4 linked regions of the Lepisosteus oculatus genome follow. The protein of the gene in region 1 purifies or fractionates together with the protein of each later gene. This does not show direct contact. Links are inferred from orthologs where the notes say so. Each region holds a gene or a part of one and is shown in the gene's direction. Other genes may lie near its edges. The genes, in order: wdr77, lsm4, gar1 and ctdp1.

Evidence for each region.
Region 2: the proteins of wdr77 (region 1) and lsm4 purify together in Homo sapiens (affinity purification with mass spectrometry; 3 studies listed by BioGRID and IntAct, with this or other methods). This does not show direct contact. The link is inferred for Lepisosteus oculatus from reciprocal best matches to the Homo sapiens genes WDR77 and LSM4.
Region 3: the proteins of wdr77 (region 1) and gar1 purify together in Homo sapiens (affinity purification with mass spectrometry; 3 studies listed by BioGRID and IntAct, with this or other methods). This does not show direct contact. The link is inferred for Lepisosteus oculatus from reciprocal best matches to the Homo sapiens genes WDR77 and GAR1.
Region 4: the proteins of wdr77 (region 1) and ctdp1 fractionate together in Homo sapiens (co-fractionation; 3 studies listed by BioGRID and IntAct, with this or other methods). This does not show direct contact. The link is inferred for Lepisosteus oculatus from reciprocal best matches to the Homo sapiens genes WDR77 and CTDP1.

The regions. Positions count from the first base shown.
Region 1 is NC_090700.1:36,485,208-36,492,976, reverse strand, and holds the start of wdr77 (methylosome protein WDR77), read left to right. Parts: upstream 1-4,762; 5' UTR 4,763-5,067; coding exon 5,068-5,167; intron 5,168-6,478; coding exon 6,479-6,664; intron 6,665-7,401; coding exon 7,402-7,543; intron 7,544-7,769. UniProt on the Homo sapiens protein: Non-catalytic component of the methylosome complex, composed of PRMT5, WDR77 and CLNS1A, which modifies specific arginines to dimethylarginines in several spliceosomal Sm proteins and histones.
Region 2 is NC_090724.1:3,861,279-3,868,360, reverse strand, and holds the start of lsm4 (U6 snRNA-associated Sm-like protein LSm4), read left to right. Parts: upstream 1-4,071; 5' UTR 4,072-4,167; coding exon 4,168-4,170; intron 4,171-5,862; coding exon 5,863-5,904; intron 5,905-6,592; coding exon 6,593-6,691; intron 6,692-7,082. UniProt on the Homo sapiens protein: Plays a role in pre-mRNA splicing as component of the U4/U6-U5 tri-snRNP complex that is involved in spliceosome assembly, and as component of the precatalytic spliceosome (spliceosome B complex).
Region 3 is NC_090696.1:56,886,797-56,894,182, forward strand, and holds the start of gar1 (H/ACA ribonucleoprotein complex subunit 1), read left to right. Parts: upstream 1-4,385; 5' UTR 4,386-4,487; exon of another isoform or gene 4,488-4,492; intron 4,493-6,311; 5' UTR 6,312-6,313; coding exon 6,314-6,473; intron 6,474-7,386. Other genes in the region: ragulator complex protein LAMTOR3, read right to left, coding at 837-958. UniProt on the Homo sapiens protein: Required for ribosome biogenesis and telomere maintenance. Part of the H/ACA small nucleolar ribonucleoprotein (H/ACA snoRNP) complex, which catalyzes pseudouridylation of rRNA.
Region 4 is NC_090705.1:15,799,249-15,807,171, forward strand, and holds the start of ctdp1 (RNA polymerase II subunit A C-terminal domain phosphatase), read left to right. Parts: upstream 1-4,903; 5' UTR 4,904-5,419; coding exon 5,420-5,724; intron 5,725-7,923. Other genes in the region: adck5 (uncharacterized aarF domain-containing protein kinase 5), read right to left, coding at 234-309, 891-1,040, 1,188-1,273, 2,752-2,775. UniProt on the Homo sapiens protein: Processively dephosphorylates 'Ser-2' and 'Ser-5' of the heptad repeats YSPTSPS in the C-terminal domain of the largest RNA polymerase II subunit. This promotes the activity of RNA polymerase II.

The DNA.
Region 1 (7,769 bases):
CAGCAGAGCAACCCACTCGACAACAGGGCAGTGGAAAGCAGCCAGCAACTAGATAAACAGCATTGCATAAGCTTAAATGAGGTTTATTGAAGAGTGTGTATGTGTAGCTTCACTGGCAGCTGGAAGGAAGACTTTTTCTGGCTTATCATGTTAAGCGCACATTACTGATGCATTTATAATTGTATTATTTACTGTCTGTGGCTTAGACCTTCATATCAACAATTTACTATAATGGTACAGTGCCCTAACATACAGTATATTAAAGTGTTAATACATTATAGATCACCCAAGAAAGGTTAATAATCTGATGGAAATAAGTGAACTGTTCATTATTAAGTCAACAGTATTATAGAACATGTGTATAAGTACAGCAAGGATTACGTATTCTGAATTAAAACATTCTTACCAAGTGTCATCTCCACAGTGGTTGAGTCCAGCTATAGGGTTGAGCACAAACAATGGGGAGAGATTCAGAACTACAGAAGCAGAGAGAAAGAAAAGCAGTTTTTAAGGACTTGGACAATAGTGTCCCAGCAGAATGTCCTACCTCCACAATCCACATCCCACTTTTACATAAGAAACCACTGGGGATATTCGAAAAGAGATTTTAAGCAGAAAATCCATAATGTTTATTTTAAATGAAAGAAAATAAATGTTAGGAATGCTATGCAGGGTCTTTAAAAAATGGATCAGACTTAAACGATCCAGCAGAGCCTCCTAACAGTGTAAACATAGCACTGTTTCTAGTCACCATCAGAGAGACAAAGCAGGGAAAAGCAGTGCAACTGAACTCTTCAAAAGTAGTTTTGTTAGCCCTGGATGGTAGGTACACACTGAACTGATCCTTAATTGCTTATCTAATCCCAGTGACGCAGATCACTAATTAATTAAGGATAAGCTGGAGCAAAGACTTGGAATAGCATAGTATTCAGATGTCATAGTAAAATACCTCTAGCCTGAGTATTCAGAATTTTCTTCCAACCTAAATATTCTATTAAACAATTAACCTAATTATTTTCTTAATGAATTATATCACACATGTATAGGGTATTTGTAAGGTCTTTTACAGTCAATTACTCGAAACCTTCATTAAATGCACAATTACCTATTGAACACCTCAGGACCTGATTGGTAGTATTCCAATTAGGCAGTTAATTAAATAATTAGACCACCTATGTTACTGGGAATAGAGTACACAGAATCCAGAAAGAGATTTCTTTAAGAAGAAAACAGGCCAACACTATGTTTATTTCTGCTGTCTACAGCAGCTGGTTCATGTATAAGTCAAAGGCCTTGAAAATGAGACCCGTTGTCCTCTCACTGACCATCGCCTGTTGTCCCTAGAAGCACTCTTTTTGAGGGTTATACACAGGTCAGCTCCAGATTTGCACAAAGGAAATGGACAACATCAACTGCAAAATCGAATGCCTGCTGATCACAGAGCAGTGAACAGTGGGTCACACCAAATCTGTCTGTCTATCTCAGCACACAGGAAGCTTATTCCAATTAAAATAATGCAATGGATTACCAACAGACTTTCAGGGGTGAGCTTGTGACAGCTAGCCGTGGCATGGAAACTGAACAGTCCCAGCTTTGTGTTGTTTAATTCAAAATACTCCACAGTGACCTTGAGTATGCAGATTTGTAGAATTACATTTGCTTCTTCAAATAAAGGAATAAAAATGCAGCTCTGTGACCTATTGCAACCCAACGCATACATCACCAGTAAATACAGGTTCATTTGCATTTCATAGTGGAGTTCTGAGTTGCACGTCGTGTTCCTCAAGTGTTTGTTATATCATTTTTTTCCCTAGCTCTTGACATGTACTCAGGTCGAAAGCCTGCTTCAAAGGTGGGAGGGTTAGGATAAATTAACAGTTCTTTGGTGCTCTCTTGTGGATACCAGGAATACTACATGGCTTTGGTCACTAAGATTACAGCTTGTTGACAAATTTCTTGTGGCACAGCTTTTAGCATTACTCCTGCTCCTGAGGTGATATCTGTTTCGAGTTTTGTATGTTATCTACATGTTCAATACAGTTTCCTCCAGGTGCTCCGGTTTCTTTACGCAGTCCAGAGACATACTGGTAGGTTAATTTGCTTCTGAGAAATTAGCCCTGGTGCAAGTGAGTATGTGTGTGTATCTGTGTGTGCTCTGTGATGAACTGGCCTCCCATCCAAGGTGTACCCCACCTTTTGCCCACTGCTTGCCAGGTTAGGCTCCGACTGCCCCATAATACTGAATTGGAAGAAGCAGTTAGAAAATGGATGGATGGTTTTGTTAACCAACTCACTGTAGAACCAATCAGCTTCAAAAATGGGCTGACTGGAACTGGATGGACATTTTTTCTAATTTAATTCTCATTTACTGAAACCATTTCCTGAGTTACAAAAAACGCTAACACATAAGTACAGTTCCCACCCACTAGGCTGATGGGTAACAGCCATTTTGTACCAGCAAACCCCACTGCACAACAGATCAGACAGAGACATAAGACACTGATTAAGAAATTGAACTAAGGAGGAACTTAATTGTGACCAGATCATTCAGCCCATAGTGGAATATAGTCAGGGCACTGGGGTTAATTTAAATTAAGGGTTAAAAGCTCTACTTTTACAGACAGTGTCATGGGATCTCTATTGACATCACATACTGTAGTCAGGACCCTGGTTTAACATCTTATTCAAAAGACTGCAGCAACAAAAAACATGGCACTGTCTCTGTCACTATCTCTTTGCAATGCGGTGACCAGATCAGTACATAATATTCTAAATTAGGTCTTATTAGTGTATGATACAAATGTACCATAATATCCATTGATTTAAATTGCTTTTAACTACATATTCTGTGTTTGTGTTTCCTCACTTTGCCTAAGAGGTGTAAATGATGTGTCAATATAAATACTTAAAGCAGTTTCATATGTCTTTTCAAGCTCAGTGTTTCCTATTTTGTATCTATAATTTACGTTTTTGCAACCGGCATACAATACTCTGCACTTGTCTACAATAACATTATCTGCCCGGTGTTAACCCAGGCTTAAATTACATTAAGAAAAGTCCTTCTACAGTATTTATTAATTCTTCTGGTTTTTTTTATCATCTTCACACTTCAATAGTTCACTGACTATACCAGAATCTTGATACAAATTAGGAACCGCAGTAATCCAAGTACAGATCCCTCAGGTACTCCATTAATTACATCCCCCCAGTGATCTCTGCTGTCTTATATTCACTGATCAGTTCTCAGTCCAAGTGGTTGCATACCTAGCCCCTGTAATTTGATAATGAATCTTTTATTTGGAACTTCAAAAATCTGAAAAGCTAAACATATTGTTTAAAATGCAATAACCAGATGAAAAACTGCCTATTCGCCGAACATTACTTGTTTTTTCGTACTTCGAAAGCAGGTGGATGCCGCTGTTTATCGCTCAAAGGCCTGGCTGCACGGGAAGCTGTTATTCTTGTCATAACGAGATTGATTCGTCTATCACATGATCGATTACTGTCAAAATTGTTACGTAAAAGTACACAGTTGAGAATGATAAATAATTGTTACAAATATCGCCACATGGTCCATTATACTCATGCACACTGCGAACAAAGCACTTAACTCCCGAATTACTGATTAAGTGTATAACATGAATATTAATTTGGTAAAATATTTACTAATGTGTTTAAAAATGATGTATCTTTCACTGTACATGAGCATGGTATATGGTATAACTTAATGCTATTTAGCTAGCTCTTGGACATAAGTAATACAAAGAGAAAAAAACAACAACAACAATACAATTGTGTAGCAAAAGAAAGACAGAGACAACAGGCAGTGTGCAAAAAACAACAACAGACGATGTGCAAAAAAACAACAACAGGCAATGTGCTAAACAACAAAAAGGTAACAGGTTATGTGCAAAAATATGCATTAACAGAATAAAATAAAGGGATAGAAAATATGGGGAGTGAGCTTTTGACATGTATGGTAGAGGTAGATTTTCAATGTGTGTTTGGGTTTTTGGTAAGAAAGAAAGAAAGGAAGAAGGCACTGTGAGGTTCAGATCATAGGTGAGAGGTGAGGTGAGAGTGAGAGTGAGAGAGGCTGGGAATTGAACAGTTTGATAGTGCGGGGGTAAAAACTCTCTCTGAGTCTGGTAGTCCGGGCCCGAATGCTCTGGTACCGTTTTCCAGATGGTAGCAGATCATAAAGTCTGTAGCTGGGGTGTGTGGGGTCTTTGATCATGCTTAGAGCTTTCCTCAAGCACCGCTGTCATAAATGTCCTGGATAGATGGGAGGGTAACCCCAGTGATGGACTGGGCAGTTTTCACCACCCGCTGTAGGGCTTTGCGGTCAGCAGCACTGCAGTTGCCATACCACACTGTGATGCAGCCTGTCAGTGTGCTTTCTGGAGTGCATCTGTAAAAGTTAGTGAGGATCTGGGGACATATCTTAGCCTTCCTCAACCGTCTTAGGAAGTACAGGCGCAGTTGCGCTTACTTGATCAGTAATTCTTTGGAATATACATGAAACTAAACTCTTGGATAAACATTTTTAAATAATAAGTATTCAAGTTAATCGTTTTTAGGAATAAAAATCAAAATCGTGACATGTTTTATTTGTATAAGACCCTGTAGAGGGTCGACGTTAGCTCTGCAGTACTCTATCTGCACTTTGTGATGATTATATGCGGAAAGGGGCGGCAAATCAAATGGTAACCAAGCAACCGGTACTCGCGCGAGAGCGAGGCCAGCGGAGGCAGGGCTGGTGCAGAGGGGGGACCTGGAAGCGGAAGCACGTGGTGGATGGACCTTGGCAGTTCTGGCTCATTCATTCGCGGGTCTGGATCGGGGGAAAAAAGAGGAGAGTGAGCGTGTCAGCAGGGTAAAGTTGACACCTTTTCGGCAGGGAGGACTGGAGTGGAGAGGGTTGCTGGAGGTGGATTCGGAAATCGGGCTTGGCACCTTGTTGTATGTGGAACCTAAAATCCGGAGCCAGGAGCAATCGAGGAGAGTAAAGAACGGAAATCCAGTTCGTTGGTGTTAATTGATATAAGCAGCAGCAGCCGCGTGTGAATGAATACTACAGCTATGATCAAGGAAAATCGCTGGAAAATACCTCCCAATGCCCCGGCTTGCATGGAAAAACATCTGGACTCAGTCCAGTACAGAGCAGGTAAATCATTAATTACGTGTTTAATTGGCGTGTCGTCTGTGGGTTATACATGGCGTGCATGTGGCCTGTTTGATCTCGGGTCTTTAATTGTATCGGTGAACCGGTCAAAATAACGTTTTACCTGACACTCTGTTTTCGTATGCCATTAGTGGCTGTATGTTTTATTTTTAATGAAAGCCACGCTATCCGTTCAACTGTGCATTGAAGGAGCACAGGAAACATAGTGATATCAAAGTTCTCGTAGTAGCAACCTGTTGTACATTACCGAGTAACCGCCGTGTGTCTGAACGTTTATGCCGCCGTTCACAATGTCTCTTACTATCTGGCAGGAGCCGCAGGTTATCTCGGAATGCGATCTTTCGTTAAAACTCTGCGAGACCACAAACCCGGGTAGTCGGCGGCGGTAGAAGCCATACAGCGTGACTGCTGTGTTTGCGCAGGCCCGCCCGGCGGTCCGGAGAGCTGTCCCGTCGTGTCGGCCAGCGTAGTGTGAAAACGAGCGTGGTTCTAGTGCTTTTGTACGATCCGAGTGCCCGGTACAGAAATTTGCTTCCTAGCTGGGCATAACCGCAGATATAAGTGCAATCGGAAGAGCCTATATTTTGGAACGTGTCAGCTGTTGATGGGGAGGGCTTTCTTTTTCTTCTTTTTGAGACAAAAAGACCTCATTTTGTTTGCTAGGTGTTTCCTCCCCCAGGGTGCCGGGGGGAGAAGGGGGGACTGTGGGGTGTTGCATATCTAGGTGACGGGATAGGGACAGAGGGCAGCAGGCTACAGGCAGCTGAGAACGGGACAGTGAGGAGACAGGGGTGCTCTGAAAGGGATTACGGGCAGAGGAGTGGATTGATAGGTCCATTTCCTGTCTTTAATTCAGTACGTGCTTAGGCAGATGCATCTGGGTATAAAACATCAATTAAAAACGTAATTGTTCTATTAGTAAAGGAGTGTGGCTTCCATTAGGAGATATTGCCTCAAGGCAGGTAGACGTCAGTACTTTCTCAGAACTAAACCTTTCCCTGGTACGTCTACATAAGAGAGGTTACACTTATTTGGAAAATGTAGGCTTTTGGTTGCTGAAACCCGATCAATCTGAGGGTCTTTACCAGCCATTTCTTGAAATAAACCACAGCTGTGTGGCTGGCCTTAAAGAATTGCCTCCCTTTCTCTATTTTAAATGCTCTTTCTCGTAGTTTCTGCTGGTGTGCTCTTCCTTGTGGAGCAGTGACCCATTTTCCCACAGTAGCTGGCTGATAGTTCTCCCTGGAGTGCCTCTGCCCTGAACGCTGTGGCGTTTGTTTTTCTCTCCTCCAGATGGCTCCCTGCTGCTCAGTGCCTCCAGCCTGATGGGGCGCTGCTGGCTGGGCTCCATCTGGGTGTTCAAGGACCCCCAGCTGGCGCCGAAAGAGGGGCACTGCAGCGCCGGGGTGCAGACCGAGGCCGGCGTGGCGGACGCGAAGTGGGTGTCCGAGCGGAGTATCCTCGTGGGCTCGGACTCCGGTGAGTTTCCTCGTTGTTCTGGTTGGAGTGGCAGAGCAGTAACCAGGGCCAGCTGGGCTCAGCACTGGAGATCAGCCTTTGTCGTGCTCTGAGTGTATGGGAGGGTGGCTAGAAGCAATGTATTACTTTTAAACCAGCAAAGAGAAAATCTGTTTGTATGTTATAATATATTTGATATTTAAATACCATATGTTATTGGCTTCATTGGGTGAAACTGTTGGGTGCAACAGCCTTAAGTGTTAGGAAGGTGAACGCTAGGGGGTAAGGTGTTTGGTGAATGCTAGGGGGGTAATTGAAGAAGTGTTGGTTTGCAGGAAAATGGCAATTGAAAATGCAACTGCTACATTGTTACTTCTCATTCCCCATATAGTAGTGATGGTGCATCTCATTCCCCATATAGTGGAGAATTTCACCCCCTTGTAAATTATCTTCCTACTCTCTGAAGCTTGAAGCCAGTTCTGATAGTGAAACATGAAAGCGATTTGTTCTGTCGTTTCTGTCGAGGAGAGCGCTGATGATTCAGTGAGTGGCTGGTTGAGGTTTTGTTATAGTTCGATTGTCCTCTTAATGTTCTGGTAAGGGAGTGGGAACCCAACTGGGCTTCTGTGACGAGAGAGAGAGGGAACTAGTTATCCCTGCTATGACTGAAGTGTCTGGGGCGACTGCTGTGCTGCTGTGAGTGTGTGGAGAGCTGACACACTGTGGTCTCTTCCATGTCTGCCTGTCTGTTGTCCCAGGCGCGGTGGAGCTGTGGGAGTTGGCTGAGGACGAGTCCCTGATCGTCAGCAAGTTCTGCCACCACCACCACGACGACATCGTCACTACCGTCAGCCCGCTGGCCCAGGGGACACAGGCGGTCAGTGGCAGCATGGACTGCTGGTCAGTGTGCTCTTCACTGCCTGCTCTCTGAAAGCCAGGAGCTCGTGCCTGCTGCCCTGTGCTGGGCCTTAATCCATCGAGCAGGACCATTGTGCTGCGTTGTGGCAGAAAAATGGAAATGTAGGAATTGATAAAAGAGTAAAACTTTGAAATAGACCTCTGTAAATCAGATTTTTTTACTTGCAGTGTTGACATCCATATTAGGACAGTGGATATGACCTCCTGT
Region 2 (7,082 bases), on another chromosome or scaffold:
TAAATCCGTGCAACAATGACTGATCTGCTTTTACAATAATCTTTTCTCACATTTGATTGGCACTTTGCACTTTTTTGCCATTTTCCCAGGGTAAAGCAAGATGTGCGATTGTAGCCAAGTATGAATTCAGAATTAAGTTCTGTATGATTACATTGATAGCAATATACTGTATAATAGCATATGGGTAATTACATGCATATATACATACATATGTGATAATTAAAGGCAGCAAAAGGTTTTTATATTTTACTAAGGCAGGAAAGTTGGTGTGTTCTTTAGGGAAAGAAATTGTAACCAAGGGGACTGCTGACCGTGAAATATACTCGCTTTGCTTCCAGTCTCTAACAGATGTGAACTTTTTTTTGTATGTTTTTATTAATGAGAACACAAATCATTCTCATCTCCCATTCCAGTGATCACACAAACTGGCCCTGGATGGGTAGGAGACAGTGAATCACATCTAAATGTCAGGTTCATGCATTACAATATTAGCTCTAAAGGTTTTGGCTTAAATCACTTGCCGATTCCTAATTTGTCCTAAAGGAGGACCCCCCCACAAAGTGTAATAAAGCGGGCAAAAAAAAAAACCAATATTTTTTATAATCGAGATCTCACATGCTCTGGTGTCGATTGCTCATGTTTTCCCAAGAAGCCCCAGGTCACTGGGTGGTATTTAGAAAGTAAATGATTCAGGTTTAGTAATGATTTAATTAATGAACTTGGGTCTGGACCACAGCTATACTGTAGGGAGCTACCGTCTTCCTATTAAAAAAAAAAGCAATATTTTTAATCACTGAATATGGATAGAATATAATCCCCATGTTTGCATGGATTACCTCCAGGTACTCCTGTTTTCTCTCCGTCCAGACACATACTGGCAGGTTAATTGGCTTCAGGGAAAGTGGCCCAGGTGTGGGTGTCTGCTGGTCTCTTTGTGCCCCATCGCTTGCCAGAAGAAACTGGGGCTCCCCTGCCACTCTGAATTGGACAAGGAGGTTGGAAGAGGGAGTGATGGAGGATGAAAGTTCATACTTTAATGCAGTTGTTGCTAACCCTGGTCCTGAGCTACTCCTGTGTCTGCTGGTTTTCATTCCAGCTGAGCCGTTTCATCACTGATGCAAGTTGATGCCTTTAATTGACCCGTTTGCTCAGTCCTTTCTTTACCTGTTTTTGTGTGCAGTCCTTGTTTTGAACAAACCCTTCTTGAAGCGTATTGTTCCAGCAATAGATTTGTTTGCAACTTTATGCCGTTTGTCCTCAACTAGATCATTAGGAAATGGCTAATGTATTTCTGTTAAAACAGTTTGGAACAAGTTTTATGTAAGTAAGGTTTGTGTTGAACACTATATCAGACACAACCACAGTGAGAATTTCTGTCCGTCTCCTGCAGGGGTCAAGCTGGTTACATTTCAGCTAACACACACGAGTCGTGGGAGTTCTGACTTGCAGCAATTGGCCCAAGGTGATCTTAGTTAGAAATCCCATCCAACATTTTAAGGGCTGAAAAATGATTTTAAAACCTGCCTCATTTAGAGGATTGAAAGATATTCGACTTGAATAAAAGCCAGAACAAACGGGGTTCCCTTATCACCAGGGTTGGAAACCACTTCTTCAACGAGATAATTTTGTGCTTACAATTAAAAAAAAAAAAAGCTATTTTTAGCATTTGTACAATAAAACCAAATTGATTACAATAGCAACATTACTTGTACAAATAATAACCTAAATGGATGCTTTAGGTACAGTATTAACCTTTTATGGTATTTACGATAATGGAAAGGGTGCTCTCTAAAATAAGGCTCAGTAGCAAACTCGCCGACATCTCACATATCCACCAGTCTGACGTTTCATTAATCAAAGGAGTGGCATTTTAATGGTCTTAAAAATTTAGAAGACATCTTTGAGTTATTCATACAACTCTTCAAAGGGCGTTTATTTCTCAACTTCAGGAAGGCCACGATATGCACATGGGGTCATGGAACAGTCACCGGAATAAGACATAAGGAGTGGAATAAACACTGATAAACATTACCAACTCTGTGATCAACGTGCAGAAGCTTGTTCAGGACAGAATATTGATTACTGGGGTGCTTGGAGCAGCCACAGCACTGATAGACAGTGACCTTTCCAGCAAGCCACAGGAGAGTTTGAGAATATACAGAACAGAACAAATGAACCACAGATATGCTTTCTTACCGCGTGCTGGCAAATAGGGTTTCAGAACATGGAGGGGGGGTAATGACTGTAGGTTTTTGTATATATTGGCAAAGGTTATCCACTCCAATCGAACATCAATCCTTCCTTCAAAAATCTCTCTCTACAACCAAATACTCTCTGTCTCTCAGCCAGTGTGCAAGGTATTATTTATATTCTAATGTGGTAGAGGTATGTGAAAGATATTTAGGTAACAAGACTCCCAGATGGAACTGCTCCCATATAGTCAACTAGCCACTGCAACAAATCACGATATAGGGAATGCGACTACTATTGCAAAATGGTCACTGGCTATTAAATATAACTTGTGACAGATCTCCCCCCCGTTTTGATGGTAACGAAGGGTGAGGAATGTGTACACTTACCTTCGTGTAAATTAAAATGAGGCGGGGTGGACGGACACCACTCGTATCCCATTCAGTATAGCCTGGTCATCTGTACTGCCCTCCGACATGCACACGCGCCGTTATCTCGGGGAGAAAAAGATTTTTTCTCATCCTGCACAAACATGCAACACATAAGGACTAAGGATGAATGGAGTCTTTGTGCGTTTTCTTTCGGGTTCCTCCGTCTTCTTTAAAGATAACTTAAGCTTTCATTCACGTGGTATTTTTTTTTTTAATTACCCCAATCCCTAGCAAACACATTAAATACAACCTTTGACACTAGTAACCTGAAATCTCCTTTTGAGATTAGGAGTGTAACCTGCAGCCCACCCTACAAGACTGCATTAACCCATACTTGACTCCTGAAAGCGTGATAATGTCGGCCAGCAATGACATTAATCAGGCTCACCTTATCAACAAAAATCTCACGAAATTTGCTTTTCATTGTCATTTCGTCGGCACAGAACCTATTTTTAATTTCAGGTCTGCTGCTCTTGAAAAAACTGAAGCCGCCATTTGCGCGATCTGTCGCTTAAAAAACGCCACGAAATATTTAAATGCTTTAGGTCTGTGTCCTAATTTAAAGAATAACTGAATTCATTCCTCAACTCTACACAGCTGTGCATTTGACAATGTTTATTCTAAACAAGCTGAAATGAAATGATTAGGAATTGCTATATCAGTAGTCCTGTCCTGTATAGGATGCGCCTATCACCAGAACAATAAGCATTCTGATGATAGGTTCGGAAACACGAATAATAGAAAACTATTGAATATTAATAGCAGATCAAAGGTACAAAGAGAAAAATATGTGGACATAGTTGTTCCAAAGCAGAAGATTTGTATGCCTCGCTGAATCATGATTAATGTTCCCTTATTAAACACCTTTAAATTATTTCGATAAATCTAATTAAACTCGTTACTAATAAAATCTGAACAATTTAATGCTGTCATGCTAACCGAGGGATGTGAGCTGTTGAGCTCGAAGTTTTGGTGGGGACCTTTTAACTGAATTGGCAGAGGGCCTAGTTAAATATCGAGGACTACGTGTGATATCACATCCTAAATCACATGTTCACATGGGGGTCTGGATGTCTCCAAATGTGATTTTTCGTAGGGACATCTTCAGATCTATTACGTCTGTCAAAAACACACTTAATACATTATTTTAGAAAAGGTAATCGCTTCCATCATCATATATATATATTACATATTCTTTCTTTTTCACACTGAAATATATATTTTTCTAAAGTTCCTTTGCTAGCTTTGTAATATACTCTTCCGCGTGTTCACTCTGCAGAACAGAAGGAGGATGCGAGCATGTTTTTACGACAGAAGCATACTTTACGGCAAACTGTACAAATCAATTGGCGGCAAATTGTTATCTCAAACTAACTATAGCATTCCAACGAAGAACCCTCCTTCGCTTCCTTTTGATTGGCTTATTTTACTCTTCACTCGCGTTTTTGAGGTATGATTGGAGAGTACAGTTATCCCTCATGGTTGTATGATTAACAGGCTGGGTTAACACAGTGAAGCAAAAATTATAAAAGGAAGCAGAAAGAGAATGGTGAGTTTTGCGTTTTGTGTACGAGGTTTGGGGGTTTATAGGTACTTATAGGTATTTTTATAGGCACTTTTACGGGAAAGGGAGGAGATAATTATTAAAATGCGGAAACGTGTGTTTACATCGCCCTTCACAGCGAGTAGATGCGATACTTAGAGGTTTAACTCGTATACCCGCATTAACAAGTACATTGCTTAACTTTACATTATCTGCAGAGGAAAACGCTTAGTTAATTCCATAGTCGCAGAAATGGTAGTTTTCATCGTAAGTTTCGTGCTCAGAGGTAACTAAATGTCTGTCATTCGTTAACATAAATCTCAAACAACGTGCCGCAACAGCAATTTAACATGAAATGCGAGTCCTGCGATGTTACCTATACACGTGTGTTACACGGCCTGCAGCTCTTCTTGAGTCTCTCGTTTGCGTTTACATTTTCCCCGTGTGACGAGCAGATTCGTACTGGTCCTCTGAATGTCTCTAACATCTCGTGTCCAAGTACATGATGTAACCGATTTTCAATTACAGTTAAATCTCTGGATAGACAAGTTAACCATTAGTCAAAACGTATATTCTGTTACCAGTGCGTTGAAAGTCAAATCTCTTAAAAATCTCTTTAAATCACTCTTTAGTGCTGTTAAAAAAACGGATATATGATTCACATTTCGTTATAGCTTGTGGTTTCTGCATAAATAATTATTTACAATATCAAGAGACTTACTCTTGGTCTAGACCTGAGGATAGCTGGCTTTAATTTTGCTAAGCCAGATGCTGCATTTTGCAGTGTTAGCATATAACTAACTGCATTTCCACTGTGTTCTGGCCCTGTTAGTTATTAGCACAAGTGATATGAGGGCAGCTCCATGTCATCTAGGTTTCAAGGGGGTGGTCAGCACCTGTAATGTGTACAAGAGCCTAAGTGTTATTACTGAGCAGGGCTGGGCCTTATGATGGGAGTCCTCTAAGGATAACCAGGTTTCTGCTGTAAGTAATAATTGCTTACACTTGTATAGCGCTTTTCTGGACACTCCACTCAAAGCGCTTTACAGGTAATGGGGATCCCCTCCACTATGTAGGCTCCCTGTGCAGCATCCACCTGGATGATGCGACGGCAGCCATAGTGCGCTGGAACACTATTAGTGGGGAGGAGAGCAGAATAATGAAGCCAATTCATAGATGGGGATTATTAGGAGGCCGTGATTGGTAAGGGCCAATGGGAAATTTGGTTACAACCCTACTCTTTAACCGGAATGCCCTGGGATTTTTAATGACCACAGAGAGTCAGGACCTCGGTTTTACGTCTCATCAGAAGTACAGTGCCTGCTTACAGTATAGTGTGCCCGTCACTATACTTGGGTATTAAGACCCAGATGGATCACAGGGTGAGCACCCCCTTCTGGCCCCACTAACACCTCTTCTAGCAGCACCCTTAGTTTTTCCCAGGAGGTCTCCATTCCAGATACTGGCCAGGCTCACTCCTGCTGAGCGTCAGTGGGCTGCCAGCTGGGAGTTGCAGAGTGATATGGCTGCTGGCCGAGTGTATTGAAAAAACAGACTTTTAGGGTTCTGAGTCACGTCTTTTCTTTTGTATTACTACTGTATTTCATAGAAAGTGGAATTTGTTAATTCTGCTCTTAAAAATATATTTTTTTGGTATCCATATCACAAAGTTTTCCTAAACCATTGTTGCTTTTCCAGCTGCCACTGTCATTGTTGAAGACTGCTCAGAATCACCCTATGGTAAGTAAGTGCGCATAAAATAATGCACTAATAAAATTACAGGGGCACCCTAATGAAAAAGGACATGAAATGTCTTTTACTCAGAACTGTTTTATCCGCTCAAGTTTTCTGCCAGCACCTGTAGCTTTTGATTTCCTATGTTTTACTCCTGTATTTAATGATTTCCTATTGAATGATTTCACCATGAAAAAACATCATGGTGAAAAGTATCAAGAGATCATATGGTTACATGTGTTGAACAGACAGAAAATGCTTTAAACAGTGTAAGAAATAGCTCTCATGGTCATATTGAGACAAATGAGCCTGTTGCTTTAGAGAAGGGTCCTGTATCCCCAGGCCTGTAGTGTGGGGTAGTGGTCAATGCTCTGGACTCCTGACAAGGAGTTAGAGGGTTGTGTGTTCAGAACCTAAGTGGTGATAAAGCTGCCAGACCCTTGAGTAAGGTACTTTACCCCGAGTGCTTTTGTGCAATAGATCTGTGTAAATCAAAAAGTAATTATAAACTCTCTCACACTGGATATAATTTGTATTCCAACATTTTTATAATAAAAATGTTTGAAAATGTGTTGTACTTTGTCGTCCGCTGTGCTATGCGTTTGTTTTTTGAATGAGATCTTTTCTTTTGTATTGCTCTTGTATTTTCTAACTGTTCAGAGCCCATCCTGACCCTTTTATTCTTGTTTCAAAGCTGGTGGAGCTGAAGAATGGGGAGACATACAACGGTCACCTAGTGAGCTGTGACAACTGGATGAACATCAACCTGAGAGAAGTCATCTGTACATCTAGGGTAGGACCTTTCTCATTGCTGTGTAGCGGGACTTGAAAGAGATGTCGTTAAATCTTTCGAAGTGTGTGACAGGTGGTGATGTATAGGTGCTGCAGAAGCTGAATTTGTACAGTTAAGGTACTGACCACTAGGTGGCTCTGTATGTTTAGAAAAGGAAATACTAGCTTTTCAGGAAAGCCCTTTAAAATCCTGATACTGTTATTCAGGTCTCCTCTGGTCTGATGAAAAGAGATGGAAGAGTTTTCACTGAAATCAAAGTAGACTTATAAGCCTGATGGAGATCAGTGTCTTAAGTGAGCTTAAGAATATAGCTTAAGAGAGTTATTGCCCTGGGTGAAACTGCAGCGGTGTGATAAAGACAAGAAGTTGTTTTTCGAACCTAACGAAGACT
Region 3 (7,386 bases), on another chromosome or scaffold:
TCATATGTAACATCTTGGAAAACTTTAGCAACATATATCAAAGTAGAATTTTGCCATAAAGCACAAGGATCAGGAGCAAAGGTTGAATCATTTTGTTCATAAGGAATTAACTTCAATATCAAACTACTTGTAGGCCATTAATTAAAAACTCTGTTTTCTGATTCCTGGAGGAATCGAAAATGTTAGTGTAATTTAACATGGAAGGGGAAGTGCTGTTTTCATATAGGCCAAAGTTTAAATGCCAGAACTTTATAATTAATTTTGGCACAGTTTTACCTTTTTATAGGGAAACGTCATAAACCATGAGCTATTTTTTTAGTGTTTTTGTCAAGGCAATTTTCTGTTGTCATAGATATTTTCCAGGAGGTTTTGACACCCAAGTATTTACTTCTCTTTCACATTGGGAAACACTCTCCAACCTATTATCTATTACCTCTAAAGGAAACTGATATTTTAGTGCTTGATTCATGGCAAAAGGGGGGGGGGGGGGTGAAACAATCCTTTGTTTGTCTGTAGTAACAGATAACTAAAGTCCAGTCCACAAAAACAAAATGTCTAAAAACGGTGTAAACATTTTAAAAACATGTTGCAGTTCACTTTGCTTAACCATGATTAAGCAATAAAGTACGGCAGGGTCTAGATACTTCTGAATATAACATTTGCAATTTCACTTCTTCACAGTTTGGTCTGGGGGTAGAGTTCTTGTAACGAAAGAAGAGAACTGAGGCGGAGGTTATTAAGCACAACTTTCAAACTAGTTGCAAAACAGACAAGGATTGTGAGAGTGTTTCTCTTCCCCCTGCCCAAGTACCCACTACCCAACATCCACATCTCACCTTGTTTTTTTATAGTAACATCTTGGTAATATTTTATTAAGTATATCTTGGTTGAATTTATGGTGTGGGGATTGACAGGCTGGAGATGACCTTACAGGCTCACTGAGAGCTGCCTTTTTCATTACAGTGGGTCATCAATCAAGCAGAGAGAAAAAAGTGCAGGTATCTGCTGAACATAGAGGAGAAATTAAGCTAACTGATCTCTACAATTTTTGTGATTACAATTGTGTTAGTTATTTTAATTAACTTAACGCTACTGCATTAGTACTTTAATCATCATATAAGGGGAGGGATAACACATGTCTGTTAACCATACATACTATATGCAATAGTGCACTATATAACAGTATAAAGGTGGTCTTGCTTATATGGCAATTCTGCTATTTTCTCTGCGCCAAACCCTCACAAATATTGAGACCCTACTGCATAGAAAATGCACCTAACATTTATGTTGTACCACTCTTTCATCACTAGTGATTCTTAAATATCTTTTAGATATATCTTAAATATAGATTTCTCTATAGCAAAAAACAAATTAAAGTTTTCAAACCTTGGCAACTGCTTATACAGATACCTCTTCAGCTCCTGTGAAAAACAATCAGATATAGCTGTTGGAGGGATCTGCTGTTTACTAGTGCATTCCCATTATGAGAAGGTTTGTGGTTACAGACAGCACTTTTATACCCTTCACACAATGTAACAAAGCTGGTTTAAAAATACTGAAAGGGTACATTCCATATACATAAATAAATGAAAATATGAACACTTGTTAAAGATGATGGCCAGAAATGTAATATTGCATTGCTTTGTGGTCACCTGGAAGTGTCTCAAAGCTGAAATGTGGAAAGAGATTCTAGAAGTGATCTTGATGAAGTCTGAGTAATACAGCAATTTCTTCCTTTCATTTGAGTAATTTTTTATCCCAAAGTTTTCTACATATAGATAAGCACCTGTTTGAATTACCACTGAAGTGCAATACCCACAGTGCTTCACAATGAAAATTACATTGTTCTTATGGAGTATTGGAGAAATGGAGTATACTGGGGCATTAGAACAGGATTTGGAAAAAAAAGGGAAGAGTGCCACCTACTGTTTCTACCAACAACACCAACTTACAACAGCAACCTGAATTTCTCTGGACATCACCCTTAACAGCACTGACCTGCTTAGCTTCTGAAATCTGATAAGATCAAGACATAATGTTGTAATTCTTCTGTCTAAAAATAAAAACTGTAAATGAACTTTTCACCTATTTACTGAAGAGCTCCCAAATCACACCTCCTTATCTAGTGTTAATCCCGCTTTTGATTGACCAACACGACCTCCATATGACTAGACAGCAGAATATTTATGAAATGTACTACAGAATGTACTACATAAAGCATTTTGCTAGAGCAGGAAGCATAATTTGGGGGAGATGGAGAAGTTCTGCATGGAAGAACAGTAAGAAATCTAACTTAAATATTGTCAGAACAAATTAAAAGGTTACAGGAAGTGATTTTTTATTATTATCAGCACCAAAGGCAAATGAAAGAAATATTAATTGCTGTAGGGTGAATAGTTTTTAATATTGTATATTTAGGACAATTTGCAATGATTTTAGAAATATTTGTTTTTGCTGTATTTCAAACTGTCCTAATATGTGTTATATTTTAAACCCAACTTAAGTTACACAGTAATTGTTCAGGCTACAATTTGTATACAACTGTATGCACTTACAGTTCCTACACCCAAAGTTAGGAACTGCATGAAAAACATAATGATAAGATTCATGCAACAGTGGAAATTGAAAATATGTATCCATTAGTATCAGATTTGTTTTCCAACATTCACTGGTAACGGTTTGTCTTCTCTCAATTAACATCCTGCAGCAACGGAAAAAAAAAAAGATCTGCAGTTTGCTAACATTAACATACAACATTTTTTAGACAATTTATACAGTAAATACTTACATCTGCCATTTTCTGTGTTTTTATTAGAAGTTAAAAACCTAGAAAGTAAAACAACTAAAATCAGATGTTGTGATGAAAGGACAAGAGCAAGGACTGGAAAGTGTCATACTTTTTTCAAGAAATGTTTCTAACTCCAGTTTTTTTGCATGAAACTCTGTTTTATTAAAGGAAATGTATAAAACTGTAAATGTATAAAACTGCAAATCTAAATAACAGTAATCTACATCTCTTAATGTTTCAAATGTGATAGTTTAGTTACATTTGACACCAACATCAAATTTAACACTCGTTCAAACTAAATCGTCTTTCAGCAAATAATATAATTTTTAGACGGAAGTGTGAATGTTTCTGATACTGTAGATTAAAACAACTTAATTGCCACTAGTTCCAGTGGCCAGAATAAATAAGACTATATATTATATTTATTGGGAATACCTCTGTCAAATAAGTATTATTTTAAAATAAAAATATTATAATTTATGAGTAGTAAATTAATGTCTGATATTATTGGAGAAGGAGGTAGAAAATATTTAGGGCTTCAGAATGGACCGAACGAAAAAATAGATAGCACTTCTCCTTCTAATGTCAAAGACAACGAGCATTAACATTTACGTTTAATTATTATTAATTATGTATAATGTTAATTAAACGTACACTTAATTAATAAAGAAATAGGAATAAACGTTTTATCAAAATCAGTGTCAAGATAAATGTATAGGATAATTTAGAGGCACTATATGTCACCTTTTTAAGCTAGATGACCTATCTCCTACTTTTAATTTCTACTACAAATTAATTTCAAACTGAGACCTCAGCGGCTGAACCAAATAAAAAGGAAACGAAAAGACAATGTGTCTATGATTCCTTTTAAAAAAGAAAAAAAATACGATAACCTGTTCAAAGGCAGAATACTCTAATTGGACTTATAATGCAAAATAAGACGATATTACCTGCTTCTGCTAGATTTTTACGGAAGGTTTGTAGAAAATGAAATAAATCACATGATATTTACACAGAAACGGAAGTATTTTAACAATTGACCTTTCAACAATTGACAGCTTCCGCTGTCACAAACGTAAAGAGTTTCCTATCGTACCGTGCCTCCCCATAAATGTGAGCATTCTTGTTTTAGTTTTTTCTACATTTATAAAGTATACTGAATTAAATAAAATGGGAATTTTACAGTACACCTCACATATAAAAACAAAAGAAACAGGAAACATGGTTATAAAGGTCTCAACTAAACCAGCATTGTTACCTGCAGTTACCCTTTTAATAATAATAATAATAATAATAATAATAATAATAATAATTGCTTACACACTTATTTAGTGCTTTCCTGGAAACTCCACTCAGGGCGCTTTACAAGTAGCGGTACAGCAAATCACAGAGATCATTAGAAGTGAAATACTTATGAGTTACATGAAAAGAACATCTAGTTTATAACTAAAGATAAACAACTGAGGATTAAGGTTTTGACAAATACGCTGTAATGATTCCAGTATCTGTGACTATGAGCTTGATCATCAAAATAGGATTTCCTGATTATTTGCATTACAAGCATTTTACGACAGTGTGAATCCTTGTGGTTACAACTGACTTACGGTAAAGGCCACGTGTGGTTGTAGGAAATCAGCGCGGCGTGGTGGTGTAAAGAACATATTGGGCATTTTGGGAGCAGGCGGTATTTCAGATAAAGGTGAGGTAAATGTTTTTTTTTTAAGATGTGCTTATGATTTTTTATTGGGTCATGCTTTATAGTCTAGTTAAAGTCCAGGAAGTTTTCCAAACTATTTTATGAGTCAGTTTGCTTTGGGGAGTACCTAAAACTGAACAGTTTGGTTATAGTTTAATTACTTCACAATTCATACCTACGTTAATTTCTACATAAATAATTGTATGCTTTGGTTCAATCACATATTAAGAGTTAATCGGCATTTTTGTCTTCATCACTTCCCCCTAAATTAAAGGAGATATTTATGCATGGTTTCAAAGTGAACGTCGTGAAAAAAGTAATGTCGATTAATTTCAATGAGCAACGCACTTCAGTTCAGTGTGGCATAATAAAGTGGCTCCATCTTATTCATTACCATTTTGGAACATGTGCTTTGTCCACTGAAAGCTAAAGTGTAAGTTTTGTTGCGATCTCACCCGATTCTAATTTTTTTCCCCCGCGAATCCAAAATTCATGCGAAGCATGAACAGTAGTTGAGCTAAAAGGGAGTAGTACTGTTTTCTTTCATTTATGTATTATTAAGTGAAAGTCAATTCTGGTACTAGTACCCATTTATATAAAAAAAAACTGCAGTCAGGATATGAGGTTGTTACAAAAAGCTGGTCAAACTGTGTCAGATTAATCATTTCAATGAAGTTTCAATTTGCCGAGCAAGCTAGTATCAGACGGGTTTTTTTTTGTATCTTATTCTGTTGTAATTTGGTTTTACCCAAAATGCTGTCTTATCAGCCCACTTTCTCAATGACACATCATAATATGAATTAATGTTATACTTTTTATACTAATTAAGAATATTATTAATACTCTTATGCATCATACCCTAATCTGGTGGAGTATAGCTGTAGGTTTTTAAAATTTAATTAACCGTTTTTGTTTTCAATAGTGTTAGAAGACGTTCCCACAAGGAACTTTAGAAAAGAAAGATTCACATAATTGTGGAATTGGTGATTGAGCACTTCCAGGGGAGGATTAGGATTAATTGATCAACTCGGTCTCGGTTTTCAAGCAGAAAGTAACTCCTTGATTTTAATGAGTTTTAACTCTTCGGTAGGATAAGGCAGACCACATTGCGTCAGATTGCTCTGCAGAGAGACAGGTTTTAGGGAAGTTTGTCTCATTCCTAGTTATTCACAATTGGTAGTTCTCAATTGGAAATTGAGGTAAAATATGCTTTTACCTGTTGAAGCATTTAATTGTTGGAGTAACGTTTAAGAGCCAAGATGGTCAACCAAGGTGGGATCACGAAATCTAGGTCACACATTCTAAAAAAACACAAAACTCTTTTAACTTAATGGAACACTGCATTTTGCAGTCGACGTTTAGGAGGCCAGGGCTTAAATTTCACTTTAATTTTTTTTTTCTTGTGCAAAACAGGAGGATCAGAAATGTTTTGTGAGTTGCTCAAATGGCAGTAAGTGGGTCTGTTTAGTATAGTAATGTAAGTAAATGATCTAAGTGCCCGAATGTCATAAATAATATAATAAATGTCTTGTCATGCTTTGAATAAATAAAAAATGATGCTCTGATGAATAATTATAACACTTATGTATCATGTCGATGTTGCTGTATGCAAATGTGAGACTGTACGGTTTTGATTGTAGCTTTTGTTCCTTAACTACTGATGTATCCTTCAATACTACAGAAACCAGGATACATCCCAGCTCTTTGGACGTCTGCTGTTTATATTTGAGCAAAATACGTTTTTTTGTGTTGCAGATACAACACTGACCAAAAGGCCAGTGGGAGAAAGTCCTTACTCCTCATGAACTGTTGTCTGTTTTCTTCTAGCAATGTCTTTCCGTGGAGGAGGTGGCCGAGGCGGCAGAGGAGGGGGGTTTAATCGAGGTGGACGAGGAGGTTTTGGGGGCCGGGGCGGTGGGGGAGGATTTCGAGGTGGTGGCCGAGGAGGCTTCAACAGACAAGATTTTGGACCTCCAGAATATGTTGTTGGTAAAGAAACTTTATCGTTGACTGTAGACCTAAATATTATTCTGTGTAGGGTTTACTGAGATGTACACAGTCGCTGTTTATTATTTTGAAGATAACTAGCAAAATAATTAATTTGGCAGACCCGGTTGTAGAAATGTAAATATTACATGTTAAGAGATTGAGTTACAAAATGAAGGAATGTCACCTTTTATAAAAATCTTTATGAATTAGGTGCTTTCTTTTAAAAAGGTATTTGCTTGGTTGGGAACAAAAAAATACAGTTACACTTAGCTTTGACATTATATGAAATATGAAGACCGCTGGTCTTACAAAAGGATGAAGTATTTCTTCCATATATTATCGTTTCTTATAACATTTAGAACTGAAGTCTATGTGGACCATTTTAAAACCAGTCAAAAAAAGTAATATAACACACCACTTGGGTACATTATATCAACTCTGTTATGGTACATCGAAGAACACAATGCATATTGTCAATATTTGCTTTGTCAAAATGTCTTGTAGACGTGTTTTAAGGGCATTGCTATCTTAATTTCTTTTCTGGTTTAATTTAAGTATGCAGCTGTGAACCATAGGAATTCGTAGGATTAAATTAGAAAAGAAAAAGCTATTTTTTTGCAGAAGCATGATTGAGTTTTTGCAGTTGGCTTTTTTGAGCAGCACTTCCTTCCCAACCACAGTATATTTTTTATTATACAGATAAAACTGCCCTGATAATTTCAGAGTTGCCACATGGCTTATGGACAACCATGCTACTTATTTTAAGCTTGTCCTGTAGCTCTTATAAAAAAATACTATTTACTGTCATAAGTGGCATGCTTTTATGCATGCTTTTTTTGGTTTAACATAGCTCTAGTTCTTTATAGTAGCATCCCAGTCTTCCAGGATACCTCATTATTTTAATTAGTTCATT
Region 4 (7,923 bases), on another chromosome or scaffold:
AATACTGTAGTCACACGTAAACAGAACTGAATGTCTTTTATTGAAATTTACTCTGTCTTCTGGCAGTCTCCCATCCATCATCCTAGATGTACTCAGAAATACATCCTCACTGTATAGGGGTGTGAGTAAAGCAAAGCTCATTCTAAAAAAATATATTTTAGGATTTCAGTTTATACAGCCCATTTTGTTATTTTGTCTTAGGCGTGCTCACATTTACCGTGTTCAAAATTTACCTCATCCAGCCCCTGCAGGCTGACGTTTGAGGTCCACCAGTAATCAAGGGAAATCGTCAATCCAACACACAGTGACCTGCATGATCACAAACACGATTCTTCAGTTCAGAACAGTCAAGCACTGTGAATACAATACAGTAGTCCCCCATCCCCAATTCTGAGGCCACCATCTGAGGACACCCAGCAGTGAATTGTGTATTTACACAACATGTCAAACTTTGCCCTTTGGAAATGATACACTGGGCCTCACAACACTGCCTTGTCTTCCATATTCATCTTAATATGTACTTGCTAAAAAAAAAAAGATTGAGGAAAGTTATTGAAGAGACAGCTGTAAGCTAAGTACATGAATAGTTCCTACAGCCTCACCCAATACAGTAAGCCAGACCATTTGCAATTACTAAAACCACTCCCTTCTTTGAATATCCAAAGAACAGACTCCTCCATCGTTTTTATCTGCATCATTTTTCCTGGAAGTCCGAACTTGTAATAGAGCTTCACTCCAGATACTGGGGCTTATTTTAGCATCAGATAACCGAGCCTAAAAGCTGCCAGTTTCTGGAGAATCGAGCGGTGAAAGTTGGCAACCCAAAATGCACGAAACATTTCAAGCCATCCAGCAGGCAAATGTGAAAAAAAACCAAACCACAAACACACCTGCCAAAACGGCCCAGCCCTTCAAACAAGATTCTCATCCTGCGTCTCTCCCGCGGCCCTGACAGGGCGTACTGCACTCCCAAGACCAGCGGCACGCCTGCCGCAGCGCCCACTAGCACCTTCTTCAGAAAACCCCTTCTCCTCATCGGCCTGGGGAGACACATCAGCCGTTACCATCTACCGCTCCAGTTCTGAAGTTTCTGTCCAGGTGCCGTTTCCGAGGACGCCTGTTGCTAGGACAGTACACACAATCCACTCTCCTCCAGAAACATCTTGCCAGCAGACGGTATACATCACCTTGCAGACCAGGAGCTCAGATGGGCCAGTGGGGCAGAGCCTGGGTTGTGGTGCAACAGTGCCCAGTGGCGCTGACACAGCCGCAACTGCAGGACACAAAAACATAGAGCCACTTAATCCAGAGCCAGACGTCTTTCTGTGTGCTGGAACACCAGACCAAACTGTTTTTTTTAAAAAAAAAACCAAAACAATTCACAAAGCACAACAATACACATTACACCAGAGCGAGCAATATCTTAACACTGCCAACAATATAGGGGTGTTTTTTTAGAGAAATTCTTGCTCTCAGAGATCCTTTTCAATTCAACCTGATGAAAATATCCTGGACCAATTCCCTATGATCAAAAGCCCTTGAGGACAGTTAAGGTTTCCGAGTTTTAAACTTTGCAAATCCCATTATGCAGAGCACCACACCCATAAATGGGCACAGTAATCAGATGATGAAGGGCTTTCTTTTTCATGCAAACAGGGTGAAATGTTTTTAGAAGCGGCACGGTAGAGAGCAACTGCTAAATCAAGGCTGCTGGTGTCCATTCAGAGGCACAGTTGTTTTTATTAGCAGTTTAAGAGAACATCTTGTTACAAACCAGATGATTTAAAGATAGCGCTTCAGTGTCAGGGACCTGACCCGAGACAGTGGGATCTGTCTCATTCTGAAAGAGCCGATATGAAGGGGAGAAACTGGGAGAAAGCTGAAAGTGTAAGCGAAAGGAAGGACAGCCCTTTTTTCTCCTTGTCTCTTCACTGACATTCACCCTTGTAAGAGTTTCGACACAAGGCAGCTTGTAACTTGCCCTAAGCCATGTATTGAAGCTGGAGGGGACAGATAAGGTTCTATTAGCTTCAAGTCAGCAAGCAAAAAAGACCGACGATCGTTTATTCCACACCTTATGTTATTAAAAAAGATTCCCGGGGATTGTTCCTTTCTAAAGGCTGGTAATAATAACTAACGCGACCAGTGCTGTTTCCGCATTAACAGTTAAATGGGTGAACAGCAGAGCAATAAGACATGCGGTAACACTACAATGATGGTAAAAACAGTAACCAATTTGACGTATTAACGTGGTTGGAATATTGTATTCTACATATACATTAATTTATGGTACATCAGAAATATTAAAGGGGAAGACAGTTAATTCTTAATTACCCTTTCGTCTGCTACAGACTGATGCATTTGGCATGATCAATACAGCGTGCAACTGTGAACTGGGAGCTTTGCGAATAATTGTTCTTGCTGTCATTACACCAGCACTATCAAAGACTAACCTCACTTGAAGACTGCGTCTTCCAACTGACACCCATTATCCCTTTTTAATATTCATAAAACTGCACCGAAAAAAAATACTACCCGTTCTGTCTCGGTACCAGCGAAATCTCACACGCATAAAAGCACGACACTAGAATTTAGAATATTTTGCAAAGTGAACTTGTCACGAGAAAGCCGTCATTTGGCACTACTACGGACTGCATTTCTTTTCTTGCCCGTTGAAAAAGTTGTCAACCACTTTCAAAAATGCAACTCGCTAAACCCTTGAAGTGATCTTTACTGTGTTCATTCGCTTACCGCTCTGAAAGTATCTCCGGCCATGTCGCTAAGGAGAACAATGTGTAAAACCAGTCTATGCCCGGACAGTATATGGAAACGCAGGCTGTGATTGCCAGTCGCCCTTTGCCTATAGTTAACGAGCAAGGACTCTGACGCCTCCCCTCGCTATTGCCAGGCTCGCCTTACACACGCACTGGGGTCATGTGACACGTGGGGTGACTGACTAGCGTGAAGCTAGCGTCGTTAAGCGACGCTAGCTTGGCAGCACCTTTCAAAATAAAAGCGTGACTCCGGAGCTGGCAGCTGATTTACGCGTCACGTCACGTGGACGGGATAAGACTTCCTGCTCTCCTTCCCGGTTGGGGTTTTTAAATTTGTGAAGGTGCCACAAAATAAACGAGGGAGGAGGTCCATACACCTTTTAGAATACCGCTGCCTGTATTTATAGTGTAATCTTTATCAGCTATAGATTTGTGATTACCGTTCCTCCCTGGCCTTATTTATTAAGGGTAGCGTTTTTGTAATAGGTAGAAACTTGGTGCAGAAAAGGACAGCGCACTGAGGTGGTTTTAATCTACAGTTTATTTCGAATCAGAATATGACAAACTGCTGCTCTCAGGTGGGATGGATTGGTTTTGGGTTCTAAAAATGAGGCCATACTGGGCCAAAAAGAGACTTTATAACTGTCAGTGAAGTACTTTAAAATGAACCCATTTTATTTGGAAAAAAACATATAATTAATTTTTTAAAAATCAGTTTACTAAGAAGTAAATGTGCCAGCAAGAGCCCTTACAGATGTCATGTTTCATGACGTCAAAGCTCGCGTTAAAATGTGTAAAGCTTGGGCTAAGGGTTAGAGAACATGCAAACTGTTTCTGCTTGTTTACATTACATGTTAGGGTGGTGCTGTGGCTCTGTGGCTAAGGATCTGCACCTCTGGCTGGAAGGTTACCGGTTTGTATCCCATGGCTGGCAGAGAAATCCTACGCCTTTGGGCCACTGAGCAAGTCCCTTAATCACAACTGCTCCAGGGGCACTGTATAAATGGCTGACCCTGCACTCTGACCACAAGCTTCTCTCCCTGTCTATGTGTCCCATGGAGAGCAAGTTGGAGTATGTGAAAAGACAAATTCCTAATACAATAAATTGTATATGGCCAATAGAGTGATCTTATCTGCCAAATGTTTTCCCAGACTTTTCTATATAAATCTTTCTGCATTTCCTTTATGGTTTCTATAGTAACTGCTTATCCTCCTATTTTATTAGCATCATATGTATACTTGACTCATTTATTCTCTATAACAGGCCAGAATACAGGTCATTCTGTAACAGTAGGAGGAGCCTCAAACACCCCATCATAGGCGTCTTAAGTCATTGTCTCCTAGCAACAGATGTGTCGACTCACAGACATTCACAAATTTCAGAATGATTACTGTCAATAAGACATTGAGAACCTTTATTCTTTCTTTATAATGCAATACTTTTGAAGACCAAAATATTTCATTTCAACAAACAGGTAAACTAACTGAATGTAATGAATATGTTTAAGCTTCACGGCCGTCATCAACATTTGTTCTAACAAATAAGGATGCTTACATAGATAAGTGTAACAGCTCATCGTTTTTTCATTATTACCAGTAGGTTAAAATATGAATTAATTTAAGACCAGGAACAATATACATTACATAAAGCAAGACACTAACAAAGAATACTGTATTATGCTCTTTTTTAAGAGGCAAACTGTCACCAAGGGGCTTAGCATCAAATTCAACTGTCAAATTGGGCAGTATGTCAACATTTCACGATGATTAATACGACTAATACCGTTTTAAAAGACAGGGTAACTTTGTATAGCAAAAAGTGGTAAAATAATTTTAACTCCAGTAACCGCGAAGTTGTTTTTTCTCTCAGAAACTATGGATGATATCTGAATTACTGAATTACTGTCCAATTCCAGGACCAAGATTTAAACAGGTGCCAGGCCGTGAGCATACACCTTGTCCTCCCGCAGCAAGCCCGGTCCTACCGCCGCCTACCTCAGCACCTGGAGCACCAGGGGATTCAGTATCACGCTGTTACATCACCTTGCATCATAATTACAGTTTTGTTGCCAAAGCTTACTCCAAGTCCTGAAAAGTAAACGAAATTACACAGCAATTGTGGATTATGTTTGGCACACTATTATACCTATTTAATGCCCCCAAAACCTAGCACTATTCTTAATATTTCGACGCACGTCCACTAGCAGGATAAAAAAAAATATCTGTACAGCTGTAAAAAAAAGACCTACTCTGTACCAAATCGCTATCCCATTTAAAAACGTCATACTGAACTGGGCGAAAATATAAGGTGCTTAATGATAGTGCCTTCCCGGCTTCGCGGAGCCGGAGCTGCTGTGAGGCGCTTCCCCCTGCCTCCTCCTCCACGGCGGCGGCGTCGTCTCCCGGAAGCGGTGCGGCAACCTGCTGCCTCTCGGAGGCTTGTGTTTCCTGTTGACGAGCGGGAAGAGCGAACCTGAACGCTTTGGTTTCATCTGCTGCTGCTCTCTGGTTTCCACTTTTCGCTTTCCGATTGCTGTCTCTTTAAAAGTGCAGAGAGCCGCCTGCAGTTCCGATTCGATCTGCAGCGGTTCAGGGCGCATCGCCTTCTCGGCTAAAGTTTGGAGGGATCTGGGGGTGCGACACGGATGGAGGACCCGGCAGACTCCGGCGGTGGTACCGCAGCTCTTGCGGGCCCCTCTAAGCAGGTGACGGAGATCCGCTGCCCGGCGGGGGCCCGTCCCCTGCGGCTGCTGGAGTGGAAGGTAAAGCCGGGATCGTATGTGAATATCGACTCCGTCCTGGCGCTGTGCGCCCCGCTCCCGGTGGAGAGGGAGGCCGGAGCAGAGCCCCAGGGGCCGCCGACTCGGTCGACGGAGAAGAAGGTGAAATCGGACCGGGCCGGCGTGGTCAGAGAGCTCTGCTGTCAGCTCGGACAGGTCGTTTCTCCGGGGTAAGTGGTCAGTTGTGGGCTGGGGGGACATGAGGGGGATTGCGGGTAGAAAGCGGCGCTCAGTAGTCATGCTTTGCAGAAAATGAGTGTTCGTGCTCGTGTTGATGTATCGAGGCGCTGCAGGGGTTTAACTAACTGTCCGAAACGGGCAGAACTTTGTAGGAACACACTTGCAAATTGATGTAGTCCGGAGAAAAGTTGCTTAAAGAGAAAGCGGGGTGATCATCAGATCACGCAACTGCGCGGCTTGTTCTCCTGTACGAGTGTGGATGAAGTGTACGGGGAGTGTTGAGTTAACTGAAAACTTATAACTTCGTGGTCCAAGATTGAAAATAAGAAAAGCTCAAGTTGTCTGGAGCCGCGTCTTGCGTTTCGAAGACAAACCCCTTAACATCTTAGTGCGTGAGACGTAGTTAAAGTTAGTGCAGACGGTCTTACAATTGTCTTTTTTATCTAGATGGCGCGTTTTAAATGCCCAGGGAAAGCGCACAGCGCAGTGTTTTCGCCAGGCCTACTGCACAAGACGTGTGTAGCTGCTTGTTGTACGAAAAGGGGGTGTGTTTGTACGCGTGCTCTTAAGGGGTAATGGCACCGTTTATGTTTTTTCCAGCCCAGATTGCCACTCGTGCCGAGTTTTGGAGTGCAACAACGCTTGGGTCTTCCCGAATTGCCACCGACGAGCATTTTGTTTTGCAGAGGACGAGTCGCAATAGCAGCGTCTGTGGAAACTGCTCACGGGGTGGGGGGCAGGGCCGCGTGCTGGAGCTGTCAGCGTCACGTGACTTAGTATTCTGTCAACATTGCCGCGTCGAGCTAAAGCACAGCCGGGCGGTTTATCATTCACTTAGTTCTTCTGTCAAACTCTGCTGTTACTGTCCTAATCTTAGGTGCTGTTCAGATTGAGATTGTAATGGTTCATTGACGTGCTGTTTTCCAGTGAGTGGTCCCAAACCCTGGTCCTGGGTGCTCCCTGTCTCTCCTGCTTTCATCCCAATTGAGCTGATCTGCTTGTTCTTTTAGACTTGTGTTTACATATTTATGTATTACGTTCTTAGTTACTTAATACACCTGTTGGATACTCAGCATACAGAACAAAGCCCTTAAGAGTTCGTGCCTTTTTTTCTGTCTGAATAGTTCTTCATATGTGATCGATGTTTGATGCACAGACAGTTGGGAGTGACACTGAATGTTTTTTTTTTCTTGTCTGCTGAGGTCCACTTGCTTACATTCCAGTAGCTGTATTGCCCTGCAACTCACTGGAGCTCAGCAGGTCTGAGCCTGGCCGGTACCTGGATGGGAGACCTCCTGGGAAAGCTAAGGTTACTGCTGGAAGACGTGTCAGTGGGGTCAGTAGGGGACACTCACCCTGCAGTCTGTGGGGCTCTTATTGCCCCAGTATAGTAAAAAAAAAAAGGTGCTGTACTTCAGATGAGACATAAAGCCAAGGTCCTGACTGTGGTCATTACAATCCCAGGGTATTTCTTAAAAAGAGTAGGGTTGTTTAACTGGGGTGTCCTGGCCAAATTTCCCATTGGCCTTTACCAGTCATGACCTCCTAATAATCCCCATCTTTGACTCTGTTCTCCTCCCCACTAATAGCTGGTGTGTGGTGAGCATACTGCCTTACTCTGGCTGCCATTGCATCTGAGTCCCCATTACCTGTAAAGAACTTTGAGTGGAGTCCAGAAAAGCTCTATATAAGTAAGCAGTTATTATTCCAGTCCACACAGCTGAATGGGGGTGATATCTGAACCTTAGAAATTGGTAGAGGTTTTAGTACAGTTGGTACAGTGTTTTGAGACATGAAAGTTTACCTCAACTAGAAGATTGATCAGTCTGTGATTAAGAAGTCAGATGGAATAAACTAAACACTGGATTATTCACTAGAGATGGTCAGTAAGCAAATGTAGCAGGGAACGTATAGGTTAGGGAGGGGTGTTATGAAGTTAAATTCAAAGTCTGTAAATGATAATGCTAATATCATGAGAACGGTTATAAATAAGAGGTCATCCTGTCCGTTTGGTAATTAGTATCGGCTTCAACAACATGATGGGGCAGCTGATTCCACACTCCCTCCACTCTTTGTGTAAAGAAGTGCCTCCAGTTCTCGGGTTTAAATGTATTTACACATAGTTTCCACTTCTGTCCTCTGGGTCGTGCTGCTCTGTTGATTCAGAAGCCATCCACTGCATTGACCTG